Linked DNA regions of Oryzias latipes. The protein of the gene in region 1 binds, or shares a complex with, the protein of each later gene. Links are inferred from orthologs where the notes say so. Each region holds a gene or a part of one and is shown in the gene's direction. Other genes may lie near its edges.

Region 1 (3,809 bases):
ATTTTTTAAAAAAAAGGACATTTTACGAAAACAAACAGACAAATATGAGAAAAGGTTACAAAATAAAGTTGTGATAAATAAATAGTCGTACAATTATAAGAAAAAAAGGCTAAATTTTATCAGAATAATAATGAACTATAAATTATGGAAAATGACATTTAAAAAAAAAAAGACTGATGACATCACACGGCTCAAATATCTCACTAAATCTGCTTAACCTTTTTCCGTGACAAAGCAAGACTTTATAAAGTACTTTTTTCCCCCAATATTTCATGACAATATTCTTTATTCTCATAATTTTATATTTTATTTCCTTATATTCCATTGTAGAGATGCAACACACTTCAGTTTTAGACTTCTTAAATCAGAAATGTGTTCATCCAAAAGTAAAAAAAAAACGATATATGTGTATGTTTAATGTTTAAAAAAAATGATTTCTATTCCTTTTTAGTCGCAAGAGAGCGCGGGTGGAGAGCAGCCCAAGCCCCCGACCCTCCCCGAAGCGGGCGGCGAGAGACTTGAGCCCGGCCGACAGCGACGGCTATAATAGTGCCGAAGATAAAAGTGAGCGCCCTATTGGCCGAGGGCCGGCCAAGCTCCACCCACAGCCCCTCCTCCCCAGCCCCGTGTGTCTGCCTCCATCTGACAGTAGGAAAAAATCTCTTTAAAACAGACGCACTCCTGTTTTTGGAGGAAATGCGCCTCTGCAGCACTTTCTCAACCGGCATGCTTTGACTTCTGGTTTGGCTAAAATGTTTTTCATTTTCTGGCTGTCGGTGCAAATTTTACTGTCAGACAAAAAAATGTGGAACTTTTACCAAAGCAAACGTAGTTTTTCTTGGAAAATCTTTGCTAATGTTGGAGAAAAAAACGCTTTGAAATATCGACTGTTTCCTGTCCAGGTGGAGACAAGCACCGTCTGCACAGCCAAGTGGTGAGACCTCAGGATCGCCTGTCGCGGTCGCCACCGAGAGGCGCCGCTTCGGACGACAAAGCCCCCCACTGGAAAGACGAGGAGCGCCGAGGAGCTGCGGAGAAAAGGGAAGCACGGGGCCGAATCGAGGAGCCGGAGCCTCGCAGCGCGGAGCGATGCCGAGGAGCAGAGAGGCGCGGGGAGTACCTCCCTGAAGCCGAGACCCGCGGTAGAGGGAGAGACCAGCGCGAATCGAGTCCTCCGCCGCCGCCACCGCCGCCTCTTGCAGCCATCGCCACTCGCGGTGAAGACAGAGACACTGCTGGCTCTCAGGCCAACGAGGAGGGCAAGAAGAAGGTGAAGTCGCAGAGGAAGGGCATGAAGAAAGCTCGGAAAGAGGATGGAGCCGCCTGTGGAAACCGTCTCGCTGCTCCGGCGGAGCGGTTCAACCCTGAGCCTCCGCCCCCCGCCTCTGCAGACGTGCCTCCGCTCATGCCCTCACCAAGGAAAGGAGCCAAGAAGAAGGCGCTCGACCGGAAGAGGAAGCGGTCGCGAGGAGAAGACTCTGAAGCCTCTGAGGAGGACGCGTCGGCGCCTCCGCCTCACAGTAAGAAGAAGAGAGGACCTCGGACTCCACCCCCCTCCATGAGGCCGGACCACCGGGGAACCGGAGGCAACGCAGAACCGTCGCCGCTCTCCAAAGTGGACAACTTCAGTGACTGGTCGGACGAGGAGGTGACGGACCGGAGCGTCCCTATGGAGAAACAAGCCCCTCCCAGTTCTGGAGACAGAGCTCCGATGGAGACTCTGAGGAGAGGCGGAGCCCCCAGGATGGGCAGAGACAGGTGTAACCCACCTGCCATCGCCCCGCTGCTTTCCCAGGACCCCCCCATGCTGATGCAGACTATGGCCCCGCAGCCTCTCATGTTGCAGCCCGTGCTCCGCAAACTGCCCCCGGAGCAACCGCGCAGCAGCAGCATGGGGAGCAACCAGAGCCGGACGTCCTCCCGGCGCCCCCGCTCACCGTCCAACGAGTCGGGACACAGGGACGACCACCAGGGTCTGCGGCCGCGCCGGGGACGGCTGCATGGCGCCAACTCCCGAGATCGGGAGAGGGAGCGAGAGCGCGAGAGGGAGCGGCCGGCGCTCGGGGACGCTCCGGGAGCTGAGAGGAAGTCCAGAATCGACCAGCTGAGGAGAGGAGAGCCCAGCCGCAGCACGTCGTCAGGTACGTCTTCATTCTCAAACCGGATTTCCGCTGCTCCGTGCAGTGCACGCGTCTGCCTTGCGTTTCATGAGGAGTCTGTCAGTTAGTCTACATGAGCTCTATTGCGTCTCCAAGATCTTATAAAGTTCTATTTTGAATCCCACACCTGTTTCCTGTTCCTCTGGCTTTTTGATGGGAAATACTCCTGTAAAAGACGGACGTCAGACACGACGGAGGCGATGTACGCATTCCCATTGATTATTGGACGTTCTATTTTCTTGCCTCAACGCAAAGGAGACAAACTGCAGGCTTTATTCCGGGTAATCCAGATCCTGGAGATCCACCACCCACCTGCTGGCTTTTGGTTTCCTGGGTCGGGTGACTCCAGGATCTCCACCACCAGGGGTGGGAAAAGTAGTGGCCTAAACCTCGAATATTTGTAATCCAGCAGAGTCGTTTGTTTCACAGACCGTCAAGACTCCCGCAGCCACAGCTCCAGACGCAGCTCTCCCGACTCTGAGAGGCAGGCGAGGTCCAGGTCTCGAGCCGGCTCCTACGACAGCCGGGAGCGGGACCGGGAGCCGTTTGACAGGGACCGAGAACGCGACCGAAAGGAGCTGCGGCCCCAGCAGCAGCCGCAGCAGCCGCCGCTCCTCCAACAGCCCCTCCAGCAACAGAGAGACTGGGAGCCAGAGCCCAGAGACTGGCAGGGCCGTGGGCGGGAGACCCTCGGAATGCGCCCGGGTCGGGAACCTTTGATGAGGGACCGCGACGCCAGAGACCGCGAGCGCCTTCTCCCCGAGGGGATCATGCAGCAGCACGAACGAGAGAGGGAGCGGGACAGGGACGGCAGGGCCGAGAGGGGAGCTGATCGGGAGAGGGAGAGGATGATGATGATGGACCTGCCGCCACTCGGAGACCCCAGGGCTCCGGGTCGAGGAGACGCCAGGCAGGAGAGGGTTGACTATGAGCCACTGCTGCCAAGGGAAGCCTTCAGTCCTGCAGAGGAGAAACCCAGCAACAGTCACCAAGCTGTGGGAGATCAGAGGGAGCTGGAGAAGAACGACAGCGTGGACGGTAAGGGCATTGACGCAGAGCCATCCTCTGGGACCTGTCTATAACCTGGAGGGAGTAAAATCCTACTAAAATTCAGAAAGTATTCTTCTTACCCTCACCTCCTCCTCTCCTTAAGGGATTTTGTGTGCGCTGTGTTTTCAGGCGACGATGACGCTAAAGAAGAGGAGCAGTCTGTGGCGTCCGTTAGAGAAGATTATGAACCAATCAGTGACGACGAGCTGGATGTGATACTGGCCGACAGTCAGAAGAAAGAAGATCAACCAGAGGAGGAGAAAGTCACTGGTACCGATAACAAAGCATTTCTTTTATCGTAAGTTTGTTTACAGCAAGAAAGCTTCACGCCGCACCTCCTTCGTCGCCGTAGGTCCTCTGGACGTGATCGACGTGGACTGGTCCAGCCTGATGCCCAAACAGAAGCAGGAGCCGCGGGCCGCAGGAGCCGCCCTGCTCCGCTTCACGCCGGGCGCCGTGCTCCTGAGAGCGGGAATCTCCAAGCGCCTCGCCGGACCAGAGCTGCTCGAACAAGTCAAGGAGGTGTGCAAGTCGGAGCTGGACGATCCCAAAGGTGAGCTCTCCAGACGAGCCCGCTGCGTTCGCTCCCTCCCCTCTGCG
Region 2 (3,654 bases), on another chromosome or scaffold:
AATACAAGCTGGGAGTGTTGAGGGGCTTTAAGCTAGCAGAAGAGCGTGTAAATAGAGGGTGATGGGATATCAGCAGAGGGTCACAATTCAGAGGCGAAGCCTGATGAACTCTTGCCGTTTTAAAGAAAAAATGTCTTTAGAAAAACAACACAGGCTTTTGGCCAAAACAGCATAATCATAATTAAAAGACGACTGGAAATGGTTTAACAATAGATATAAATATAGTCGGAGTCCGACTGTTAAATGTGTTTATGCGTTTTCTTTTCTTTTCTAATGCAATGTGTTGGTCCTTCTTGGTCTCTCAGACAGTGGGACCGTCCCAGATGGCTCTGCAGTCAGGAGTGACAGCCCGGCTCCACCAGCTCCATCCAGCTCTCAGGAGGAGACAGAAAAACCACCGGATCCTGAGCTGGAGAAAAGGCTGCTGGGATATCTGTCTGACCTGAGTCTTTCGTTGCCTATAGACTCCCTTGCCATCAGTAATGAACTCAACAATGTAAGGTGGTTTTCTGGGATCATTGAAGAACCTGTTGGATGCGGCGTTCTACACTATGATTTCTTTGTTTATCTGTCTGAAGCCTGAAGCTGCCGCCAGTCATGGATGCATCCAGAGCCTCCTGCTAAAGTTCTCAGCTCAGGAGCTCATTGAAGTCCGACAGCCCACGTCCGTCTCTGCCTCCTCCGCGGTTCCCTCCTCCACCGTCGTGGTGGCAGTGGATCACACCAAGCTGTGGGCCATGATTGGATCCGTGGCGGGATCCCAGAGGACGGCGGTCAAGAGGAAAGCAGAAGACGTGGCCTTCAGTAGCAGAGCCGGCAGCTTCTCGCCTTCCCTTCAGAGCTCTGCTTCTCCTCCACGCTCATCCATCTCCTCCCTGACGCCCGCCTCCTGCTCCCAGCTGACTGGCTCCTCTGCGTCGGGGGGCGGAGCCGAGAAGAAGGGCAGGAGCAACAAAAGCCAGTCTTCTCACGTGGACATGGAGATCGAGAGCCTGTTAAACCAGCAGTCCACCAAGGAGCAGCAAAGCAAGAAGGTGATCCAATGTTTTTCTCTGCCGGAAATGAATCCTCACTCCTGATGTTTTCACAGATAGAAAGACGGAGGAAAGCAAGTAATCAATGTTAAGAGTCTAAAGTGGGATTTCAATGTATTTTTACACATCAAGGGAACGTTCGTGTACAACACGGATAATCAAAACAGAGAAAATAAAACGGTGTCTGGTGTGTGTAAGATTAAAGTTAAACAGAAGAAAATATAAAATCCAAAAGTCAACGATTAATTTGCCAAGAGGAAATAAGTATCACCATTTTTAGCTTAGTAAACATTTCTTTTCTTCAAAATCTACACCCATAATTATGCATTGCTCAGTGATATTGACTGATACATTAGAAACGAATGTAAACCTCATACCTGGAGATCAACCAAGTCTTTTCTACTAAATGCTGTTGAGTTTGTCCAATTATCAAAACCATTAACAATGTTGAGCAGCAAAACCGTAAGGAAAATTGGACCTGTGTTTGGTAAATGTAAAGAAGATGAAATATTACAGGGGTCGGGAACCTATGGCTCGCGAGCCATATATGGCTCTTTTGATGGTCACATGTGGCTCGCAGACGAGAAAAATATTAGGTCTTTTCTGGCCAAAAAGTGGAAAAACGTTTGAAAACTGCGTGGACTCAAACCACGAGTATGTTTGATATTTAATAAAATAAACTTCACGTCCTAAAAGTTAAGAAAATTTTTAATTTATACTCTTGTAAAATATCCTTTTGAGACATTTTTGTGAATGAGATAATATTAGAAAATATTTATTTTATTTGTTATGATTGAAGCTTCCAGCTTTAAAGCTAAATGTTGCTTCATTATTTTTTACATTTTTGGGGTCTGTTTGGGGTCAAATCAGGGTCAGTTTAAAGGGAAGTGAAATTCCAAACTGGAAATTAGTAAAAAAAAAAAAAAAAAAAAGCAGTTTTAAACTCAAAATTACACATTCCTCTCCTTTCCTCTCTTTTCTTTTTCTACTGTTGGAAGAGGCTTGGTGTGAAATGTCAAAGCCGTGCAAATCAGTTGAATCTTTGGCAACTCTATTCTCATAGATGAAAAACTTGCTGTCATTGAATTCACAAACTACAATTCTTCATTTCTCCTCCATGATTCATGTTCAAATGGTTGCCACTTTTGTGAATTAAAAGGAACACCATCCATACGTCACTACTAAGTACGAGTCTCTGACTGAAGTTCAACCTGGTTTAACTTTCAACACGCATTCAAAATTTGTTTAGATCCGCTGGAAAGTGAGAGCTTTGAATGCAAAAGCCTCGTTTAAACAGAGCTTTCAATGAAAGTGCTCTTGTTGCCAGGGGCGATGTGAACAAAGCTCCACTCCCACATAAAAATGGTCTCAACACCAAGAAATGTTGAAAATACAAAACAGCAGCTGTGACAAAAAAACATAATTTTTCATTTGGTAACAGTTTTAGATTTGTTCTTTTTTAACCCCTCCAGACTCGAATTTATTTGCAACTGAAAAAAATAAATTCCACTTGAGTTTTTGCTTTCAAGTAGATGATAAATTCAGTTAATTTTGCAGCAGAAGTGGTTCGATGCACATTTACATCAATAGACATAAAGGGGGTTTTAACTTAAGTTTCAAACTTAATTGTTTTTCTGATTTTCAATATTTCTTTTACCGCAAGTTTGAATTATTTTTGTTTCAAATTTTCTTTTTCAAAGTTTGCTTTTTTTTATTTTCTTTTTAATGTAATTTACAATCTAGTGTTTTATTTACTTTCAGCTGATCGTCATTTGACCCCAGGTTGGAGGTCAATGCTCTTTCATCATCATCATCATGTTTCTGAACATGTGTGCAGGTGAGCAGAGAAATCCTTGAGCTGCTGAACGCCAGCACCGCCAAAGAGCAGTCCATCGTGGAGAAGTTCCGCTCGCGAGGACGCGCTCAGGTCCAAGAGTTCTGCAACCACGGGACCAAAGAGGAGTGCGTCCGCTCCGGGGACGCTCCTCAGCCGTGCACCAAGCTGCACTTCCGGTGAGATTTCTGCCTCAAAGCCCAACATTTGACCCCTCGACTTCTTAAAGCTCACTCTGGTTTGATGTTGCTGAATTAGAAGAAACCACTGTTTTATATTTATATTAGAAAAAAAAAACTACCTATTTCAACCTGAAGATGGCGCCATTTATCTAACAAAAAGCAGCTCATCTAACTATATAGCCATTGCTTTTTGACACACATCTCATTAAATTCTATGGATGAACTTTTTTTTTTTCTATTGCTTTTTTGTAATTTGCTTTAATTCTAGGATAAAATTCAGATTTTACATTTTTACTCTTCTCGCTCATCTTTTTATTCTTACATTTGTTCCGATCAGTTCAGGTTTTGTCCGTGAAGCGAAACGCTTTAAATTCATGAGCTTAAAGGTTTTTCTGCTGTTTCTGCTCCTCAGTCGCATCATCAACAAGCACACAGACGAGAGCCTGGGCGACTGCTCCTTCCTCAACACCTGCTTCCACATGGACACCTGCAAGTACGTCCACTACGAGATCGACAGCCCGCCGGAGGCCGAGAGCAGCCTGGGGCCGCAGACGGGGGGCGCGGAGGTCAGCCTCTGCGCGGGGGACGCCGACAGCAACGTGGG

Evidence for each region. The genes of interacting proteins can lie anywhere in the genome.
Region 2: zinc finger CCCH domain-containing protein 13 (region 1) and mettl3 share a complex: the UniProt entries of both Homo sapiens proteins name them as parts of the WMM complex. The link is inferred for Oryzias latipes from reciprocal best matches to the Homo sapiens genes ZC3H13 and METTL3.

The regions. Positions count from the first base shown.
Region 1 is NC_019860.2:22,017,828-22,021,636, reverse strand, and holds part of zinc finger CCCH domain-containing protein 13, read left to right. Parts: intron 1-451; coding exon 452-648; intron 649-902; coding exon 903-2,141; intron 2,142-2,588; coding exon 2,589-3,197; intron 3,198-3,338; coding exon 3,339-3,479; intron 3,480-3,561; coding exon 3,562-3,762; intron 3,763-3,809. UniProt on the Homo sapiens protein: Associated component of the WMM complex, a complex that mediates N6-methyladenosine (m6A) methylation of RNAs, a modification that plays a role in the efficiency of mRNA splicing and RNA processing.
Region 2 is NC_019876.2:17,633,406-17,637,059, reverse strand, and holds part of mettl3 (N6-adenosine-methyltransferase catalytic subunit), read left to right. Parts: intron 1-305; coding exon 306-496; intron 497-578; coding exon 579-1,034; intron 1,035-2,871; coding exon 2,872-3,047; intron 3,048-3,462; coding exon 3,463-3,654. UniProt on the Homo sapiens protein: The METTL3-METTL14 heterodimer forms a N6-methyltransferase complex that methylates adenosine residues at the N(6) position of some RNAs and regulates various processes such as the circadian clock, differentiation of embryonic and hematopoietic stem cells, cortical neurogenesis, response to DNA damage, differentiation of T-cells and primary miRNA processing.